Linked DNA regions of Lepisosteus oculatus. The protein of the gene in region 3 interacts with the protein of the main gene of each other region in a pairwise test. Links are inferred from orthologs where the notes say so. Each region holds a gene or a part of one and is shown on either strand. Other genes may lie near its edges. The genes, in order: homeobox protein PKNOX1, abi3a and nup58.

What was found.
Region 1: the proteins of nup58 (region 3) and homeobox protein PKNOX1 interact in binary tests that used the Homo sapiens proteins (3 or more experiments, as listed by UniProt). The link is inferred for Lepisosteus oculatus from reciprocal best matches to the Homo sapiens genes NUP58 and PKNOX1.
Region 2: the proteins of nup58 (region 3) and abi3a interact in binary tests that used the Homo sapiens proteins (3 or more experiments, as listed by UniProt). The two-hybrid records come from large-scale screens. The link is inferred for Lepisosteus oculatus from reciprocal best matches to the Homo sapiens genes NUP58 and ABI3.

The regions. Positions count from the first base shown.
Region 1 is NC_090710.1:1,028,499-1,035,938, reverse strand, and holds the start of homeobox protein PKNOX1, read left to right. Parts: upstream 1-4,003; 5' UTR 4,004-4,098; intron 4,099-7,440. UniProt on the Homo sapiens protein: Activates transcription in the presence of PBX1A and HOXA1.
Region 2 is NC_090723.1:7,574,960-7,582,414, reverse strand, and holds the start of abi3a (ABI family, member 3a), read left to right. Parts: upstream 1-4,354; 5' UTR 4,355-4,884; coding exon 4,885-5,013; intron 5,014-7,455. Other genes in the region: arhgap27l (rho GTPase-activating protein 27), read left to right, coding at 438-543, 1,059-1,236. UniProt on the Homo sapiens protein: May inhibit tumor metastasis. In vitro, reduces cell motility.
Region 3 is NC_090700.1:5,230,097-5,237,562, reverse strand, and holds the start of nup58 (nucleoporin p58/p45), read right to left. Parts: upstream 3,051-7,466; 5' UTR 2,741-3,050; coding exon 2,658-2,740; intron 1-2,657. Other genes in the region: mtmr6 (myotubularin-related protein 6), read left to right, coding at 3,906-3,929, 7,152-7,271. UniProt on the Homo sapiens protein: Component of the nuclear pore complex, a complex required for the trafficking across the nuclear membrane.

The DNA.
Region 1 (7,440 bases), on a different chromosome or scaffold from region 3:
TTTTAGTGCTGTTAAAAGGTTTAAGTGTCTTTGGTAAGTTGAAAAAGTTAAAGGACTATTTTAAAACCCTAACCTTCTGTCACATTTACCACTTGTTCAATAAGGAAAAACAGTTTAAACATTGACTATTAACTAGGAATACTAAAAAAGTTCACATAGACATTAACGTTTTCTGAATATAGCCTACAATATCTCAAAATGTAAGCTGAACAAGCAAGTGGATTGTAAACACAAATCACATTCAAAAAAGGTATAATTTTATTCAATTTCCTGGAAGTTTAAATCCAAATGCAAGGTATGTTACATTTATTGTTATTGTGGAAGACCCATTGATGATTAGTGATGCCAGCCATAAGGGAACAATATCTGCATTTGTGTGCAAGTCCATATAGTGTGTAGCAGTATTCCATTGTGTTGTAATGGTAACAGATCAGAGTTCTACACTACCTTAATGTTCAGGTTCCTTTTTCTAAGGTAATATAAGCGGTGACAAATGTTTGTCATGCACTGTAACTGCATATAGATCAAATGTCAACTGAGCACCCTTTTCTATATCATATCGCACATGTGTAATTCAAGTATTTTCAAGATTCAATATTTTTTATAACAACAAGAGTATTGGAATGCTTACTCTTTCAGCTGTACCCAGTAATATTAAAAAAAAAATAGGCACAAATGACAAACAGACATGGACAATAAATTTAGAGAATATATGTTATAATACAGGCAAGACAGGACATAGTGCAAACAGTGTAGTACCTTAAAGTGCAGGTGCTAATTTGAGCTGTTTATGATTGGGTGGAATAAACTGTTGGTCAATTGGTCTGTGTTCTAATACTGCAATACCTCTTACCAGAACCCAGGGGTGAAAACAGATCATGGCCAGGGTCAACTGGGTCCCAATGTATAGCTCAAGTATAGCTATAGTTGTGGCAGCGGTCGAGATGTATCTGGTCGATGGAGGGTAGCTCGGTCCCAATGTTTTACTGCGAGGACCTCACAAGCCTTTGTATGGCTTTTCTGTCCTGTACTGTGGCTCCACCATACCACACTGGAAGGCCACTCTCAGTGGTATTACAGTAAAAATTGGTGAGTGTTGTCTTGCTCATCCCCCACTTCCTTAACTGTCTCAGGAAGTGAAGGCGCTGGTGGGCTTTAGTGAGGATGGCAGCAGTGTTCTTTGACCAGCTCAGCCTCTCAGTGATCTGGAGGCCATGGAACCTGAAGGGGCTGACAGTTTTAACTGGAGCCCTGTGAATGAGGATCGGTGTGTGAAGTCCTCCATATCTCCTGAAGTCCACAATAATCCCTTTTGTTTTGCCGATGATAAGTGTGGGGTTGTTGTGGCACCACTCCACCAGCTCTTCTACCTTGCTCCTGTAGGTGGTTTCATCATTGTTGCTGATAAGACAGATTACTGTGGGGTCATCAGCAAACTTTATGATGCGGCTGCTGTTAAATCTAGCCACACAGTCATGTGTTATAGAGAATACAGCCATGGGCTCAGGCAGCAGCCCTGGGGGCCCCTGTGTTGAGGATCAGAGGGGATGATATTTTGTTTCCAATCCTCACCACTTGGGGTCTGCCTGTCAGGAAGTCCAGGACCCAGTTGCAGATGGCGTTGTTGAGGCCCAGACCCCTGAGTTTGACCACCAGCCTGCCTGGCACAATTGTGTTGAAGGCTGAGCTGAAGTCAATAAATAACATCCTGGCATAGGTTTTCCTCTAGTCCAGGTGCTCAAGAGTGGTGTGAAGAGCCAGTGAGACAGCATCGTGTACTGACCTATTATTCCTATAAGCAAACTCCAGGGATCCAGGGAGTCCGGGACAATACTGTCGATGTGTCCCCTCACCAGTTTCTCCATGCACTTCATGACTACTGAGGTGACTTCCACCAGGCGGTAGTCATTCAGACATGACAACTTGGTTGCTTTAGGCTGTGGCACGACAGTAGTTCTTTTGAAGCACAGTGGGACAGTAGACAGGGATAGTAACGTGATAAATATTACAGTAAAGACAGGGGCCAGCTGTTCTCTGCATGCCTTTAAAACACAGGGGGATGGGATGCCATCAGGGCTGGCAGCCTTGCGTGGGTTCACCTTTCCGAAAGCTTTCTGTACCTCCTGTTCAGACAGCTGCAGCACAAATTCCCCAGGCTCAATGGGCGTTTTGTGTGAAGCGTCAAACCTCGCATTGAAGTTGTTTAGTTGGTCAGGCAGTGAATCATCAGCTGTTGTTATAACCTATTTGTCCTTTGTAATTAGTGATAGCCTTCAGGCCATTCCAGAGGTGCATTGTGTTAATGCCCCCACATTGTGATTCAAGCCTGTCTCTGTAGTCCCCTTTCGCATGTCTGATGGCCCTCTCCAAGTCATACCTGGCTTTCCTGTACAGCCCAAGATCTCCAGAGTTAAAGACCACAAATATATGAATGTATAAAGGAGCTTTTAAATGAACCGTTTCACTATCTGACCAGCTCTGGTAGCTTACTGATCCCAGTAAATCTGCTTCAATAACAAAGAAGGACAGTGTGGTTCCAGGCATCCAGAACCCCTAATTTTCAATCTTAAATCTGCATTTTCTTAGTCCTTATTGCTTTCACTGTTAATTGGCTTTAGGATTCAGTTAGATACTAACAGAAGTATGAAAATAAATCACACAAAAATAACTGAATATTAAATCTTCTAATATATAAAAATTGATTGGTTAGCATCTAAACTATTTCAGTCCTGAAGCAAACAATTTGAAATATAATTCCATTTAGAAAAACTGTTCCATTTGAATTTTTATGACTATAAAAACATATTCATACCTTAATTACAACATGGTGATTTTTAAAAACCTTTTGTCTGTAGACAAATTATTTTGAATAATTCTCATGCCTACTACTGTATAATGCGCTTGAATCATTTGGCTATGATTTTTAGCGAGTTTCACACTCTTAATTCAATAATGAAATGTTGCTCAACCTAGAGACATCTAAACAATCACATAAACATCACATTATAGTGTTAATTGTAATCCTCCAGAGCAACGGATAAGCTACGAACTGCTCATGCTGTTTCTGTTGATGAACGTGAAACTGCTTATGAGGTGAGTATATAAACAAGGGATCCGGTTTTTGGATCTTTGGAAGTCAGTGTAAGCATTAACATTTTGTGTTTCTACAAAACGAATCAGAGAGTTTGTTGCAGATAACAGGTAGCTGGTCCGAAGAATATATAAAGAATAACACCAATTCCAGCTGCTCACAACAGTTATTGTCATTGTCGTTATTTGAGCGAAGCTTTTGTCTAGGCTTAGGGTAACAATACGGTCAGGTCACTTCGTGGCATAGTTACACATCAGTCAGAACGTCGTCCAAGTACAGTAGGACTGTAGTGGAAACTGTTGGTGTCTAGTCTAGTCACAAACCTTTTTTTCCCATTTTGTTCTTATAACAGTATATAAAAACAACGCATTCTACAACAGAAAAACATAACCTGGGGTCTACGGATTAGAAAATGTGTTAATATATAATTAATTCACTGCACATAGAAGCTAGAAATCTATATTAAAAACACGTTTCAAAGACTAAATTTTAAACTGCATATTACTGAATTGTTTGTAACATTTTCAAAGAGCTGATATACTGATATACTGTCAGTAACTGCTTTATTTTAAAGAAGGCCGCGATGAGCCAGAGCCTGACACGGTAGACATCTGGTGCGAGTCAGCTGCAGGACACATCTAAGTCTTCACTCACGTTAACACCAACTAAAACTAGCACGTTTTGGGTTTTTGGACTATGTGAAACTAAAATGTAAACACAGGAATGTCGTTTAAAATCTGCAAACAAAATGCAGATAGGATTATTCTCAAATTAACCAGTAAATCTCTGAGCCACGTACTGCAGTGCTAGCTTGTTCCTGCAGTACAGAGAAGACTCGTGTCATCGCATCCGCTCCCGGGTCGTGCGCGTGCGCGTGCACGCCATACGTCATCCCTCCTCCCACCTTATCCCGTGAGCTGCGTGCCCGCGGCGCGATGACGCCACGCGGCGGCTGCGGGTCCCGATTGCTGCAGCCGCTTGTCAGTGTGACGAAGATTGGCACCCAGGTAAGCTGTCACTCAAAATCCTCTTTTTCCGCTCACTATCAATCAAATATCGCGCAGAAAAGCGCCGTCGGCCCTATCGCAAGTACCAGGGCATAGTAGGGAGGTGGCTCGGAGTGGGTCAGCGTGAGGGTACAAAACGCCCTACGTTTTTGAACAAGGGGAGAAAAATATGTCCGGTTTGAGCGTCTTTTTCAAGGGAAATTTCTGGAAAAGCGAGGGAGCTGCTGGCAAGGCCTCGTTGCTGTTGCTCGGCGCAGCGAGGAGGGCAGGGCTAGGCAGCTGCCCGGCTTGATTGATGGAGGCACAGGGGGCAGGTTTCTCCTCAACGTTAAAGGGACAGGGGCGAATTTTCTCCGTGTCGGTCGTGTTTATGTGCCGGATGCGGCCTGGCCGGGTTTGTCTGGGCAGAGCGGTCGAGGCCCGGGGCTGGTTGTGGCGGACGTTGCGGCGCGAAACATGGCGCTGAGAAAACCCCTCCGTAACACACCGAGACGTGAATCAACAAGACGCCCTTCCAGTGTCCAGCGTTATGACTTGCAGCGTATGAAAGGCATAAAAAATGAACCATGAACCCATAGTTCTCTGAAAAGTCTAAATAGGCACCGAGCATCTACGAAGTTTCTTTAGAGGAGCTTATGAATTAACTTTTCACCAGAATTTAGCAGGGCGCCCCTTAAAATGGGGGTAGGTTTACAGGAAGCAGCTGATGGGACATATTGGACAGTAAAAAAAAAAACTGTTAGCAGCACACAGTAAATTCGTAAATGAAACACCTGAATGAAACGCACAGCCTTACAAAATGCAGGCATAGAGATAAACAATTTGCATGTTTTATACGTTGTTGCTTTTTTACATCCTCGTTTGTTGACACTGTTAAAAGGCACACTAATAGATTGCTTGATTGAAATCCAAATACGAGGAACAATACAAAGTTTCTTCATAATATCAGGGTGCGTTATCAGTTTTTGCTTTTTATGATGTAACTTAATGGATGTATTTTTCTATACCGCCTTGTACGCTTCGTGCTCCTGCTGAAGCATTTCCCTTTAAGGGCCAGTCTCCCGCTTTCCTCATAAGGACTGAGGTTTGTGATCGAGTTTCAGTCTGGCTTCGTTATCGAGGACTGACGTAGTTAAGCTGTGAGGCATTAAGATCGGGGATCTAGTTACACTCCGTAACACTGATTTTGTTTTCTTTATTTTTTCAAGGAGCATACATTTTAGATAGAAAAGCTTAATGCTTATAACTGCACGTCCTGTTCAAATTAAATATTCTGACTTTCGTCATTACAATTTCCCTATTTAAATTTCAAAATAGATTGAAAAGGCGCCACTCTTGTTACTCTCTCAAATGACCAACTATGGAAAATTCCAGATCTCAACATTAGAACATCTGTTGCAGTTTGTACAAGATTTATGGATGATATGTCTGCTATACATATAGAGACAGATCACTTTATTGGCCAAGTTTTCACTTACAAGGAATTTGACTTGGTGAGTTGCTCATACACTATACACATACAGACATACCATATATACATTTCAGAAATTAAAGAAAAATATATATTGCACCTCAAGAATGTGTCAGAACTCTACTTTTGTGTGATAACCCCATTCGTATGTACATATTTGTAAATGATAAATTAACTGTCCATACTATACATATCCATATACAGACAATATTATTAATGCACATAATGCCGTGGTTGAAAACTAAGTAATCAATATTCAATTTTAATAACACAATTTAAGTAACTTTCAGTGATTAATAGGGATGATTAATAAGAGTCACTGCCTGAGGAAAAAAGCTGGTACTTGTATCTGTGAGCAGTGTTGGAAATGTTGCCATTAGATCTCTGTGTCTGACTGGCCATCACATGGCAAATGTTGTGATCAGAAGGGAAAGTGAAAAGAATGAAGCTCACCTGCCTGAGGAAAAAAGCTGTTTTTGTGTCTTGTGGTCCTGGTGCTAACTGACCTAAATCTTTTCTCTGATGGGAGACATTGAAAAATATGATGGCCAGGGTGAGAGGAGTCAGCAATGATCCTGCCAGCATGCTTCTTAGTCCTGGAGATGTAAAGGTCCTGGAGGACAGGCAGGTCACAGCCTATGATTACAGCAAAAACAAACTTTTTGGTTGAGATACATTTAATCTGTGGATGGAAATATAAATTCAGACATGGATAAAACATTGACATTTTCTGAGAAAATGTTGTAGTCAAGTTTGAGGTACTAGTTTTAGTTGCAATGACACATTCTCCTCTGTTGAAAAGGAAGGTTGATGTGTGGTTATAATTGCCCTTGGTATCGCTGACTGCAGTCTTGAAAGTGGTCAACTTTCATGCCGAGAGTTTAGATGACAGTTGTCGACCGAACGGAAAAGTATTAAAGTTATGCATTTTATGTTACCCATGTGTGATTTTTTTAAAGTTCTGTATGGCTGTATCAAAGTGCTTAGTGATAACTTTGGCTCCAGAGCTACAATCAAGTATGTTGCTTCTGAAAAGAATTTTGGGATTTGGGATGTTGTTCTTCTTAGCATTTTTGGCGTTTCCAAGGCCACATCTGAATTGACTCTATGCCCACTGGTGAGGTGCTTGAATTAAATGCTCAGGGCAGATGCACATAATTGAAGTTCTTTAGAAATGGATCACAGAATACAGTATTTTACAGAAATACACAGGAAGGTATGTGGTAACTCATAACATGATCTCAACAAATTTCAGAAACACAGAACACTGTTATCCCTCCATTCATTTATTAAGTTATTGTCTGTCAAAACAGTTCTTAACTGGATGTTAAGCCACATGTGGCAATGGTGCTATATCAATCCAACCATCTTAAAGAGCCTCTGTATGTTCTTCAGGTGTCCTCTAGATAGACTTGAATTAGGACAGGTGTTGAACATAGGGTTCAGAGGTGACATTGATTAATAACCTTATACGCATTCTTGTGAACCGGAAAAGGATCTTAATTGATTACATAACATGACCTATTGAAAGTTCTATTGAAAATAAGATAAGGGTCCTTCAGGGCCAGGGTTGATAAGCACTACTGTAGGAGGTGCTGGCCTTTTGCCAAGTTTTAAAATTGATGTCCTGGGTACTTGGTCATTTAAGATCCTGTAAGAGTAAATGTAAGTTACTCTCATTTTAGTTGGAGAATAAGTTTTTCACTCTTCCGCCTGATCTGCTGTGTAGTGGGGATGTTGGTGCAGAATGTCTGATGTGCGTCACCTGTGTCTGATGCGCTCCAGAGATCGATGAACTGGATCCCTTCTAACACGTAAAGGGCTTTGCAATCCCTTAGCTTGACAAAAGCAAAATTCTGTTATTGTGTAAT
Region 2 (7,455 bases), on a different chromosome or scaffold from region 3:
TGGAACGCAGGACTGAGATGGTTACCTTTTTGTTTCCCAGGAACTGGATGCCTGTCTCCATGGAAATATTAAAACCACGCATGTTTCCAGTGTGCTTACAGTACTGGAAGAGATTCATCTGCATCTAAGTCGGTGTTCTAATTCTCATCCGTATTAGTGGATGCAGTAACTATAGCAGCAGATAGCAATAACAGTCCCTACAGCGGTACTGTAGTTGAACTGTCAACCCCAGCCTTCATTGCATGAACACGTTTCTTATGTATTCCCTGAGTCAAATGATTTCATTAGCTCCTCTGTATCTTTACAGATTTCAGTAGTTAATTGGCACTGCTTTGGTTTGATCTCTGGCACAGTGCAGAGGTCCCGACTCCTTTGAAATACTATTGCACCTTTGTGTGCCCACTCTGTCATACACTGGTGCTCTTTGTCCTGCGCAGATATTGGCGATAACAGCCAGAAGGTGACTTACATGAGGGACCTGGTGAGGTCTCTCCCGCAGCCCAATCAAGACACCATGCAGGAGCTCTTCCGCCACCTGCGCAGGTGAGTCCCTGTGGGACCTCAGCTTCTGTTCTCTGGATCTCTGGCTCCTGATGGTGGAGTCTTGGTCCCCCCCCTGCCTTGTTTTAAACCTTATGCAGCACAGCTTCCACGGGGGTGGGTACAAGGGCAGGAGGGCTAATCAACCAGGCGGAGGTCGCCTGAGCTGAGCCCTATCCTTCTTAAGAGCAACGGATCAGAAACATCTACTAAAAGGTTCCCATTTTGCATTGCATCCTATTGCCATGCTGTTTGATAACCAGACCCTGGCAACATAAACAGCTAGGTAATAAAGTAGTTCAGGTGGGTAACTGCGTCAGCATGCGTAGGCTGCAAAGGAACAAGTAACAGGTTTATTTCATGCTGAAAAGAGAAGAAAGAAAACGCAACGTTTCGGCTGTGGAGCCTTGTTCTTCTCTTTCTTCTTCTTTTCAGCAGGGAATAAACCTATTACTTGTTCCTAGGTAATAAAGTCGTTCAGTTTATTTTAAACTTTTTGTTTCGCTTGCCCTCCCCAGGGTGATAGAAAGAAGAGAGGACAACCGGATGTCTGTGCAGAGCATAGCGATAGTCTTCGGCCCCACGCTCCTCAGACCGGAGACCGAGTCGGCCAACATCACCATGTACATGGTCTTCCAGAACCAGATTGTGGAGTACATCCTCAACGAGTACGACAGGATCTTCTACCCCAGCTGAGAGTCTCCTGCACAGGCTGCTGGAAGCCACAAATTCTCTTAGGATGCTGTAGGCGCAGGTACGCCAGACTTCCTGGGGGTTTCTCTCACGTTTCCTGCATCTCCTTTCCCTCCATGCCATGACGGAGACGATCATCACGGGGCAGGATTAGCAGAGGATTCAAACAAGGAGCTTTGAAGTCTAAAACTGAACTGGGGGCTGTCCCTAGAGACAGACATCACTGGGACAAGTCATCAGCCAATGTTGTGGACACCTCCATTCTAAGATCCAAAACTCCATTTTCTTTAAGTTCCAGGCACGATGGAATGAGAGGCTGTTGGATGTGGATGACTTTGTTTTTGTTTTTTTTGGCATGTGCTTATATGTGGCCAAAGAACTGTTGCACAAAAAATTACATCTGAAAATTTGCAAGTTGCAGTTTTGTAGTCATGAGATGGGTTCTTTTTAATGCCACTTGTTGCTGCACAGTGAAAATTCTGTTTTTGATCAACATAGAATAGAAAATTCTGTTCGTCCATGATGCCCTTGAACAAGCTGAAACCCATGGCCCCTGTCCATCGTTTTCATGTCTTTCAGCATATGTCACCTCTCATTGACAATCTGTGTGTGCCTTCTGAAGCTTTTCCCCCCAAAGAATCATCCCTGAGCTTGATCAGTTCTGGGCTGCATTGACCCACAAGGCATTGTGATGAGCAATACAGGCTTCCTGAACAGTATGGCCCTAGTTGTGTGCAAGAATTGCTCAGAACCTATAGGCACAGCCCATGCTATGTGATGATGACGCCTTTAAAAGGTTCCTGTGTTATAAAGCCCAGCTGCTCTGTTCCGATAAGAGAATTGCAAACAAAAAAAGCTACTGTCATTGTCTTGAGACAAATGTTTCTATTACGAATTGTACAAAAATATAAAGGCGAATAAGATTATATAGTTACTTTTGTATTTGGCAGATGCAATATTTTTTAGATTTGTATAACTTTGTCCCTGTAAAATATTGGTCAGTACTTTGAAATACATCTATATTAAGAAAGGTAGGGTAGCTGTACAGTATATTTCAGTTAGCATTAAATTTATGGAATTATGAAAGTGTCTTGATTTCACCCGTGTATAAAGAAGAGTGGATTTACCCCCAGATTGACTTGGAATATACATTTTTTTTCTTTTAATTAAATAATTTAATTTGGACAAACTCCTTCTTTGACATTCTTTGAGTTACTTATGACTGGGTGTTTCTCAAACTTTGTTTACTGTAATGAAAAGTTTAAAGAGCTGTATTCCTATTCTGAGAATGCAAGACAAGGGATAAATCCATCTGTAATACAGAGAGCTTGTGGCCAGCACTCAAGACTGATCTTACAGAGAATCAGGTTGTAAAAATATTTTCTCCCCAGAGGTGTAATATGACCACTTACTGTAGCTGCAACATGATACATTACAGGATGTCATCCCTGTATAGTATGTGATGTCTTAAACACTTGTTTAATATGATAGTTAAAGCAGAGCAGACAGCAGGGATACACTGTACATAACAGTGATACAGCGCACAATGGTTTAAGTGAAGCTGCATTTAGCAGGTAATGGCCAATAACCACCACTGCAATACGCTTAGAATTCTACGTCTCAAATGTACTGGAAAATGGTAAAGCAGTACTCAAGGCAACCACCAGATGGCACCAGAGTATTTACAACATAGCAGAGGCTGTTCAAACCACTTGGCTCCATTTGGTCCTAGCAGCTGACAATGAAGACCTTCCTTTAAACCCCAGAATGTATCTGGTGGCTCTTTTCTGGCCTGATTCCCAAACAACATCCTTTTTCTTAACAAACTTGTGCACAATATTCTAAATGAGGCCTTATCATACATTGTACATTATGATATAAATAAGGCCTCAAAACTTGGCCTTATTAATGTACCATATTATCCATCAGTATAAATTCTACACAGTTCTACCTTTTGCTTCCCCACATTGTCGAGGATATGTAAATGATGTCTTCACACAAAAACCTTTTGTGAAAAGTCTTTTTCAAACCTACCCCAGTTTCATACTTTAGATTTCTAATGTTTTTGCTTCCTGCAAGTAAAACCCTACATTTGCCAACAGGAAATTGAAAAGTACAGTGTTTTACTTTCCGGGTGTTTGCTCAGTCTTGAATTTTATCTACTGTAAATCTTATTGAATTTCTTTTGCTGCTTCTACAGTACAGTATTTGCTAATCTTCCTAATTTGGTATCTGCTGCAAATTATCACAAAGGCTAGTTTATACCAAATGCTGTATACCAGACTATACCACAATCTGAATCGTTTATATAAGTTAAGCAGCTCCTTATCCAGATCTCGCCAGTACTCCATGAATTACCCCCACTTGGAGTATTCACCCCTGTCAATACAAAAATCAACAACAGTTCCAAACAAGATGTATTGATTAGAACCCTAGCCCCAAATCTCTCTTCAACCTTAAAACCTGATACTTACCATGAACCTACCCTTACACAAACGCTGGCCATACCCTGAGACTAACTCTCACCCCGCTCCAAACATTAGTGCTAACTGTCCTACACTAGGTCACTCGGATGTCCAGTGGTATGGCAATGTGATTTGAAGTTTTAAATAGCTTTGTGGAGAGGACTTGCCTCATTTCTACATATTATAGACAAACTATCCGTATGATTAAATATTATCATGACAAAGACCATACATCAGGAGACAACTGTTGAATCAAATCCTATTACTTAAATGCTGCTGACTGGACAGCTGTTTTGCACAGCATAAGCAGCATGAAAAAAGCTCCTGATACTCTGACCCCTAGTGAAACTAGTTTAAGTTATACGCAATATCAGTCATTGACAACAGACTATATACTAACAGTATAAAAGCAACCCAGCTTCCATGGGGAATTCAGTCTGATGCATCATAGGTTTCTTCTCATCTTACAAAGCTGTTTTCTGGCCATTTGCAAAAAACTCTTCCCTTTTGAAAGCTTTTTGTTTATCTTTCAGCATTACCCTTTTTCAGGTTTGTGGGATTTCATTTGCCACTCAGCAGGAAGTTAGCAGAGTTTATTTCAAAAACAGCGCTTACTTCCTAAAAATAAACTGGCGAGAAGCCATCTCTTGTGCACCCATTAGCCTCCCAGGATTTACAGTGAGAAGCAGTTCAGGTCTGAGCTTCCAAACGAACACTACGGTCAAACAGCGGAGAGAAAAGCCGTTTGGAATTTCTGGCACTCAAGCAAGTCCAGGGGGTAGCATGAAAATGTTAAAACATTGAAGATTGAACACAGAAGATTCAAACAGCGACAAAAAGCAGTGGTCCACTAGTGTTTTTTAATTTATGCGTACATCTAAGAGAGATGTGAAACCTCAAGCGACAAGACTCTAAGTCAGTTTGCCTTTGAGAAAAAAAAGAGCTTGCCGTCTTGAGGCGGAGACAAAAAAAAAAAGCCCCTTTCGGTTTAAAAGGCTTTTTTTTCGCTCTGAATAAGAAGCGGTTAACTGCTTCTCTTTTCTTCACTCAGAGGAGGGATAAAGACAGGCTCAGGGCACTGCGCTGCTCTGCTCCTCGACTTGCTGGGGTTTATTTTTCCCTTCTTGCTTCTGCTTGATACTCCAAACCCGAACGCGGAGCAGGGCACAGCCGCCAAAGGGCAACGATGAAAGATCAGAATGGAGAGGAGATCCAGACAATCTTACAGGAGGCCCCCAGTGCCAGGCAGGCACTGCTGGACAACTACGCCAACCTGCACAAGGTGGCCGACTACTGCGAGAGCAACTACTTACAGGTAGGTGCAACCCACCGGCTTCGCCAGCAGGTACCCGCTGCCCCTCCGAAAACACCTTCCTCCTCCTCGTCTTCCTCTGCACGGAGGCCTGGACAGGAGACAGCTGACGGTTAAACTCAATCTGTTTTTTTCTGCACACTGGAATCTTGTGAGGTTAAGAGGCTAGTGCAAGGCCATGACTTTACAGTTTATGAAACCAGCAAGCCCATTTTAACAACGAATCAAAACCTTAAAAAAAATAACTTTAGGAGCTCTTCATGTATACTACTGTCCAATTCATTACTCGGGTTTGTCCTTATTCTGCGGTATCTTGTAGTATTATGCAGCTTATTACTTGTGATACTGTATTATAGAACTATACTGATGGGCATTAAAGACATAAAATGAGAACCAATAGCATATATGTATCAAATGGTTCATATTGTTTCCTTAAATGCATACATTAGGACACTTTAGAGTTCCAATTCAGATGTTACAAAATAAGCAAGAACGAGGAGTACCACTTACACTGTACTGTTAATAACCTAGAACACAACAGAATACTCTCCTACAAAAATGTTGCATTGCTTGACAAGTGTCAGCGCTTTTTTATGCCACCAACCATAACCAGTTTCTGTTACCACAGCGTCTTTTTTGAGACCAGGTTGACTCAAAGGTATATTTATAAGGCATCCTGAAGATGCTAGTGTGAATCAACTAAAGACTAAAAAAAACATCAGACAGCTGGTCATACAGTTGCCCATAACCACCCCTTCTGTCCACATCAGCAGTATATACAGACACAAATTAATTTGTATCTGACATGTTACACCCTCACACAGTACGCTGGTTAGCATTGCTTCTTCACAGTGCTCAGACCTGGGGTTCAATTCCTGGGGTGCTATGTGCATAGAGTATGTATGTTCTCCCTGTGTTTGCAAAGGTTTGCTGCAGGTGCTCCGGTTTCCTCTCACAGCCCAAAGACATGCTGGTAGGTTAATCAGGTTCTGCGAAAACTGGCCCTGGAGTGAGTGTGTGTCTGTGTTTTCCCTGTGATGGACTAGTGTCCCGTCCAGGGTGTATCCTACCTTGCGCCTATTGCTTGCTGGGATAGACTCCCCCGTGACCCTGAATTGGATTGGGCAGTTAGAAAATGGATGGATATTACCCCCTAAAACTGACAAGAAACACAGCAAGTAAGTGCAGCGCAATCTCTGCACTTCAAATACTCCGGAACTGGGCAGACAATAAACATGACCACTTGCCATTTAAAAGGACAAATTCACTGCTTTGTGCAGTTCTCTCACTTTCATGGCTGTGGTTGAGCGACCCCTTGGTTTTACATAACTGTTGAGACAATTTTCGCTCTCCCATGCGGGCGCACAATTCTTAGAGCAGTTTCCTGGTTGTGAGAGGGATGCACAAAGACTCGGGGTGTGTATAAACCTCTGAGCTCTCCTTGTCTGGTGCCCAGCGTGTTGCAGTGCAGTGAAAGAAGGATGACAACAACAGGAAACTGGGCCAGAAAAGTGCCCTAAAAGCAGACGTTGGTTTTCTTCCTGCCTTGCTCAGTCCTGACTGTAGGTATTCTGCTGCCCTGAGAGATGAGCTATTCTTTCGAAGAGTTCTGTAGCTCTTGAAGACTGAAAGCTCTCTGAATTTGCAGTGAAATGAGGAAATGTGAGCTCAGTCGGGCCCTGAGGTGTGACAGGAGATGAGGGCAGGAAAGAACACAGACAGTATGAGAGATAATACAGAAAAAGTGAAAGGGTCCTGACAGGGGACAAACACAGAGCACTCCGAAATGAGAGACAGAAACAAACCAGACCACAGGCAAGAGCAGCACAAAGTGAGAGTAATACAATCCCACAGAGGAACAGGACAGCTCTACAGACAGACAGGACTGGGTTACACAGTGAAATGCAGAAGGACGTCTGAGCCAGAAGATTCCAAAATAGAAAAGAAATATATCGAGCTGCAAGTGCAACTGAAAAACAAAAAACTAGAATCACAAGGAGAGATTCATACCTGCAGTGAAGGTTAAAAATAACATTACATGCTTTCATAATATCCAAGCACACAAACTGTAACAGGTGAAGTAAATAATCTGCAAGATAAGACTGGATTCATAATAAGACTAGATGGAAAAAAAGTAAATGCTAAATTAATATTTCATGCAGGTACCCCTATGCTGTAGAAAAAGAAGGTGCTTTAGCATAACTAGTTACTAGTAATTGTGACTTATGCTAATGACCAAGGTTACACTATTTTCAAACTTAAAGAAGTATTTAACATTATTAATAGACCTTTAACCCACTGAAGCTCAGCAGGGTTGAGCCCGGTCAGTACCTGGATGGGAGACTCCTGGGAAGCTATGGTTGCTGCTGGAAGAGGTTAGTGGGACCAGCAGGGGGCGCTCACCCTGCGGTCTGTGTGGGTCCTAATGCCCCAGTATAGTGGTGG
Region 3 (7,466 bases):
TATAAATTAGTCTCTCTATCCAATGACTGAGATACAAGAAGGACCTTAAAGTGGGGGAAATGCCATCTCCGACAAAGATAACCCAACCCCAGTATCATGTACATTAGAACACCTGAGCAAATTAATTAAAATACTTTATTAATAAGATCATTCTGTTAAGCAATCTATGTAAAAACCTGTATTTCTTAATTTTTTCCTCTTATGTCAATGCTATGCGTGACAAACACTCAAATGCAAAATTTCAGAACTATATTAGGGTCTCTGTATTCTATAATTATTGACCAAAATAACATATCAAACATTTCGGGACTTCATTTATCCGCTATTCTTAAACATTCTTTCATAATTAGGTATTTAAAAACACTAGGAAAGTTAAACGTTTTAAAATAAAATCAGTGCCACACAGAAATGACAGAACAGTCACAGGGAAATTAAGAAAGTAGCAGCTTGCAGAAATCTAGGTGAGAAAACTCATCAGACTACTTAATTTTGTCAAATCTCTGTTCTTTATGAAGTATTATATGAGAAACTAAAAAAAGTTAATTACCAGACTTAAAGGCACCTTTCACTTATTCTCTCTAGAGCAATTTAATAATAATAATAATTAATAATTGCTTACACTTATATAGCGCTTTTCTGGACACTCCACTCAAAGCGCTTTACAGGTAATGGGGACTCCCCTCCACCACCACCAATGTGCAGCATCCACCTGGATGATGCGACGGCAGCCATAGTGCGCCAGAACGCTCACCACACATCAGCTATCAGTGGGGAGGAGAGCAGAGTAATGTAGCCAATTCATAGAGGGGGATTATTAGGAGGCCATGATTAGTAAGGGCCAATTGGAAATTTGGCCAGGACACCAGGGTACACCCCTACTCTTTTCGAGAAGAGCCCTGGGATTTTTAATGACCACAGAGAGTCAGGACCTCGGTTTTACGTCTCATCCGAAGGACGGCGCCTGTTTACAGTATAGTGTCCCCATCACTATACTGGGGCATTAGGACCCACATGGACCACGGGGTGAGCGCCCCCTGCTGGCCCCACTAACACCTCTTCCAGCAGCAACCTTAGTTTTTCCCAGGAGGTCTCCCATCCAGGTACTGACCAGGCTCACACCTGCTTAGCTTCAGTGGGTTGCCAGTTGTGAGTTGCAGGGTGATATGGCTGCTGGCTTAGTACTAAGCCTAAATTTTTAAAGAAGTCACGTCTCACTTCCTGTGCATTTGGGCTCTCAAAAGCTTTCAAAAGTAGTCATGGGAAGTACCAACTATACAAATTCAACTTCTAGAGGTCTCGTGTTCCAAGGCATGTCTTTTCTTGAGGCCAGCAACCTGCCTCAAGGGAAACGAACTAGGGCACCGGGAAACCTGACAGATTTATTTCACTCAACACGCCCTGTTACTCAATAATAGAGAACAAAGAAGAAAAAGGACGACGCACTTTCACAACACCAGCAAAACAAAAAAGGCGAGAGCAGTTCAGCACCAGTAATCTTCGGCACAGAGCAACAGCGCCTTACCTACTAGGGAATCTCACAACAGCAGAAGACTCAAAAAGACTGCTGGCTGACCCTTCCTCAACCACCCTTCACTTTCAGACACAAACAGAATCGCTACACGCTCCTCACACGTCCTAGAGCCACAGTTCAGGAGCAGAATATCAGTACCTCACGTAGCGATTAATGCAGGGTTGTGTGAAGGTAAATGTTAGTACCACTACGTCAACAGCACCTCAAGCCATTCACTCTAGGTTTTGTCAGGGGTCGGGCTCATATATTTCTAACACCTGACAGTGTACACCACACCCTTCTGTCCGCATGTGAGCACATCTGCACGGACACAGACTCCAACTAATTATAAGGGTTTTCTTCTTTAGGGTGCCTGGTAGGAAATTATGCAATATACGGGGTTATATACTCAGCTTCGCAGTAGCAAAGTGCATCGCGACTTCCACATCAACCTAGCTGGAACTTTAATTACGCTTTTCCTCCAGACACACTGACTTTTCACATGGGGATGGCACTGACTTGATGGATCAAGGAGACGCACTTTCACTTTTGCTCTGATTAGCAGCTACGCAGGAAAACACACACACGTGAACAGCACACACTAAACCTAATGTCGACCAGCTCCCAGCACCCGCGCCCTTCAGTATCTTCCACAGAAAACCGAACATCTCGGACGGACCCCGGAGGATTGAATATTCCAGACCAGACCTGATCTGATCTGTGCCGCGGAAAATACCGAACCACGTGTTCGGCGCTCAAGGCTCCTGAACCTCAGCTTAGTTCCCCGCGACACCTTAGCATTCGCACTGAACAGGTTAGCTCTGCCTTCCCACTGTTCGTAGTTTTCTAACGCCTATTCCGGTGAAACACGAATATTGTATAAACCTCAGGCCAGCAAATTCTCTCCTGCTGGCAAGTTACATTTCTGAAACTTTCCGCTAATCCAAAAGGGGCAGGACATTAGCAACAATCCGTACGTTGTTAGTTCCTCTATCAGAACGAACTACGAATTACTTTTAATGGTATTGCGTAAGAAACGTGGCCTATTTAATATCACTTGTCCCATCGCTGTTCTTCAGTCAGGGAAACTGAAATCACTTACGACCGACACCACTCATTCATCACGCATTTCAAGAAGTTCTCTCACCTGGTCGCAGCTCCTAATGAAAATCCGCCCCCTGCGGTAGTAGATCCCAGGCCGCCGCCGCTGCCAAAATTAAACCCCGACATCTTCGATCTGCTACTGTATGTTACCGATGCGAGCTAGCCTGAAGCACAGCAGATCAGGGCCACAGCGTGCAAGCCCACCATTTAGAGCTGCACCGTGCACAGCTTCGCACTTGAGCCAAAACCGAACCAACGCGCTGAGCCGCCCTATTGCCGAACACCGCACTGCAGAAGAACATTTACATTACATTAACCCGAGCTGTGCCATGTCTTTTTTTAAAAAAAATATACAACATCAAACGCAACTGTTTCTATTTGTTTCCGCGCCTACACGGCAGCGTCTTCCGGCGGCAAAGACTGATGGGACGGTGGAGGACTGTGTGCCCGTGAGCGCGCACGCCCCCTCTCCCAGATCAGTTCATGAAGGTTTAGTTGCATGCCCGATTCACTACAATACTGTATTGCTAAAGCACAACGACAAACAAGAATAATCTACAACTGTTAATTACCATCTACGATGTAAAAGAAAAACGTATAAGAACGACCGCAAGTGCCTTGAAAAACAGAACAGCTCTTCTTCATTTTGCGGATTTGCTGAGATGCGTCTTACTAGTTGATCAATCGAGGATGGGCAGACACAGGTGGGATTGTATCAGACAAGCCCTCAATGAATTTCACATTTTCTTTTTTCTGCGGGTGCTGAGAGCTCAATTTAAATTTCTGGATTAGCAGCATTCTGAAAAATGTGAAAATATTCAAATTACGTCTGCAGAGTTCTATCTTCCACACATCATGATTTGGATATGACGTTAGCTATTTACGGAAGCAACTGTTAGCGTGCAGTATAAGGTATCATACAAATATACCCTATAAATGAATTGACAGTGCACACATGGTCAGTATAGAGGCCTGGTCATTAAGGCAGATTCTTCAATTGGCCTCTCGGCCACTGAGACTCGCTCCAAATACAAACTACAACTCCCGGCATGCCCGAAAAGACCCAGCGCATGGGTGTGACGTCACTCTTTCTTCGGTCACACATCAAAGCAGGAAGCACGGCTTTTTTATTTGGAGCAGAGGGGGGTTGTGTAGATTATCGGGTTGCATATGTACTTGTTTCAACGCACAGGAATTGAGCGCCGGGTGACTGTGTAGCAGCGGAGACCGAAACTCTTCTGCTGTGAATCTTGATCGCTGTGTGGTCACAGTCGCTCGTTTGAATTAAACTATGGAGCACATCAGAACGCCAAAGGTAAGATGAATACTCGGATTGGGATGAATTCTGCACTAAGACCTAAAGCCTATGCGGGAGCCGTGGAGAACGAGGTAGAGAAGACCGTCATTAGTCAAAATGACGAAATGCGCTTCAGAGTGTTGCAGTGCCTGATCAAGGATTAGCTAAAAGTGCAACATGTCCAAGGATAAGGATGAGGGAGTGTTCAGGGTGTTTATTTTTTACATGTACTGGTCTGGGAGTGGATTTTCACCGCTGCCACACTTGTCTCCCCACAGCGGCACAGTTTTATATCCCGAAACGGTGGTGAGAAAGGAGGGGAGACCGAGCGCACAGTCACCCTGCCCTGTCGTGCAGCAGGATGCTGGTTGAGGCAGGGAGGCGTCAATTTCGTTCCGATAACCCGCACAGTGAAGGGCAGATAGCCTGTGTCATGTCGCTGCTAATGCCTCGTTTAGTGCCGTTTCTGCACTGGGATGATCTAATTCTCCCGATCTGAGCACCAAACCGGACTTGGCAGGTTGTGTTTTCTCGTGTGGATAGTCTATGAGGTGCTCAGTAAATGAAGGAGAACCAACGCCTTTCATCGATGGGTGTAACAGTTCGCGTGACAGCGCACCTGTTAGAGTAATTGCTAAGTAAACAGCTACGTTTCGACTCACAGCTTTATGTGAATTGATATAGAAAATGTCATTAGGGCAAAGCTTAAAAGGCCATACACAGTGTGATTAGTATATTTGGCTGACACTCTTATCCAATTATTTGTACCCATTTATACAGCTGTGTTTTTTCCTGGAGCCACCTGAGTGAAATACTGTACCTTATTCAAAGATGCAGTGCCCCACTCGGATTTTATCTCAGACGTCTGCTTTAAAGTCCACAGACCTGACTGCTCTTCCACACTGCTGGCTGACATCATTGTCATTTATAGCGTGGCAGAGAGGAGACAACATAATATATATAGACCCCGAGTGATCAAACACATTGCTTTTATACCCAAATACATCTGTGTGACCTGATGTCAGGTCTTGAGTGTGATCTGTGGCGTCAGACAGAAGAGGAGGACATGTGTATATTAATAATTCCTCACACTTCTGTAGCACTGTTCTTGACACTCCACTCAAAGCTCCTCCCCACCTGTGCGCTCTCGGTGGCCAGTTCAGAGATGGGGATGACGAGGAAAGTCCAGGGGGAAATTTGGCCAGGAGTTTGGCCAAGGTAACACCCCAACAGTTTTCAAGAAATGCCCTGGGATGAAAAAACATGCACTGTGCGAACTTCAGGTCTCACAGGCTCTGCTGCGTTTATGTTCCCATGAAACCTAGTTTGACTGAACCTCGAAAAGCCCTGCTGCTCGGGTTCAGCAGTTTCCGCGGGCTCCCGGCTGCTGATATACTGTAGTAGGAGCACGTACTGCTGTGGAGGAAGAGATCTCTAGAGCTCTTCAGTCTGTTCCTTTTAGAAATGCAATCGTCCCTGCCCTCCTGATGCAGGGCAGGAGGAAGGACAATATCCCGGTTAGCGATTGCTCTGATTTTTCCCCCCCGTTGTGTTCCAGCTGGAAGTTGGGGAATGGAAATGCAGGGAGATCCTGGCTGGAATGTGGCGATGCGTTCTTGAGCTGTGTGTGAAAGCAGCTGGTAAAAATTCGGCCAGGCGTATTCTTACAGAACACCGCTATCGTGCACATCAATCAAGTCAGTGTGCACCTCTATGAAACTTATCTTTAACACTTTATTCTGCCACAACATACTGTACATTGTTAACTGGGATACGTTCTCCTAACCAAGGACAGGATGAGGTCCTGGAATCCATTAGCCTCTAACTACCAAAGAGGTCTGATGTGCCAAATAGCCTCCTGTCATTTTGTACCCATTCTTATAGAAGAACCGGAGGAATAAATCAGATTGTTTGGTTTTTGTTTACATTGCTTTTCATTTGATGAGAAGCAGCTCTTCGACTGATGGGCTCAGGCCACCCTCCCATTGGAAGGGCCTGTTGTCCTGTTGTCTTGCTGTGTGCTGTCGGCGTGCTGACCTGTTGCTAGGCTACCTAGCGGAATGTGTGAGGATGCAGAAACTCCCTCACGTCGGCTCTTTCATTCGAGATGCCGAGCAATTCTACTGCCACCTGCCTGGGGGAAATGGTGGAAGGAGGGGAGATGTGCACCAGTGTCCATTTTGTGGCTGGTCCAACTGAAGAAGATGAAGCTTCCCTGGCCTTTATCCCAATAATATGATATGATAGTGCAAAGATCACAGAAGAATTTGCAAGCTGCCATTTAAAGACATGCAGTGTTTTTGTTGACAATGGAAGTAAAGCTGGAATTTGAGAAAGCTTCTGTTTCAACGTTAAGTTTAGTGATTTGAGGTAGGATTAGAGTTGAATTTGCATGGAAGTTAATCTTATTCAGCATCGTTGCAGCTGTTCATCGTAATAAACAATGACTTTCCTTTGCAATGGGCTCATGTGGAAGATTTCAGGCACTGCTTTTCTTGAGAAGTATCATTCTTTGACACAACTTTTAGACCTTTTATGTCATTCTTAGATCTTTTTTCCAGTTAGTTTTTCTTCTTTTGATTTTGGGACTGCCTAAAATTCACTGAGATTGCCTAAAACACGTCTTTCTCAGATTTCAACCCTTATAAATCTTTTCCCTTATTTTATTTTTATCCTTGAAATGATCAAGATACTTGATGATGATCACAACAGTACTAATAGTCAGAAGAAAGGTCAGAAACACAGAGCACCAGCAGCTGTGTGAGCTTTATGAAGCCATTGTGGTGAACTCATAGCTCTGTCCCCAGTGCTGTGTGTGTCTCACAGCTGGGTGAGCCTCGTGTGAGTGCTGTGGTGAGCTCCGAGCTCTGTCCCCGGTGCTCCAGTGCATCAGTGTGTCTCACAGCTGGGTGAGCCTTGTGTGAGTGCTGTGGTGAGCTCAGAGCTCTGTCCCCGGTGCTCCAGTGCATCAGTGTGTCTCACAGCTGGGTGAGCCTTGTGTGAGTGCTGTGGTGAGCTCAGAGCTCTGTCCCCGGTGCTCCAGTGCATCAGTGTGTCTCACAGCTGGGTGAGCCTTGTGTGAGTGCTGTGGTGAGCTCAGAGCTCTGTCCCCGGTGCTCCAGTGCATCAGTGTATCTAACAGCTGGGTGAACCTTCTGTGAGTGCTTTTGGTGAGCGTGGAGCTCTGTCCCTGGTGCCCCAGTGCATCAGTGTGTCTCACAGCTGGGTGCTCTGTTGTAGGTCGAGCATGTGAAGCTTTTGGACCGATTCAGCAACAAGTCCACCACAGGAACTCTCTACCTCACTGCCACTCACCTGCTCTTCATGGAGGCCAGCTCCTCCAGCGCACAGGAAATATGGGTAAGAATCCGTCCCGATGTATTCTGCAAATTCTGCAAATCACTTATAATTATGGTAAGGCCTTGAAAAGCTACTCGCACTGCAGAACCAGGAAGTGCTCTTCTTCCTTTAAAACAAGGTTTTGTCAGTATTTGTTTGACCTAGAGGTGCAGCATAAAGCTTAGCCTGGCAGAGGTGTTGTGTGTGTACAGTTTT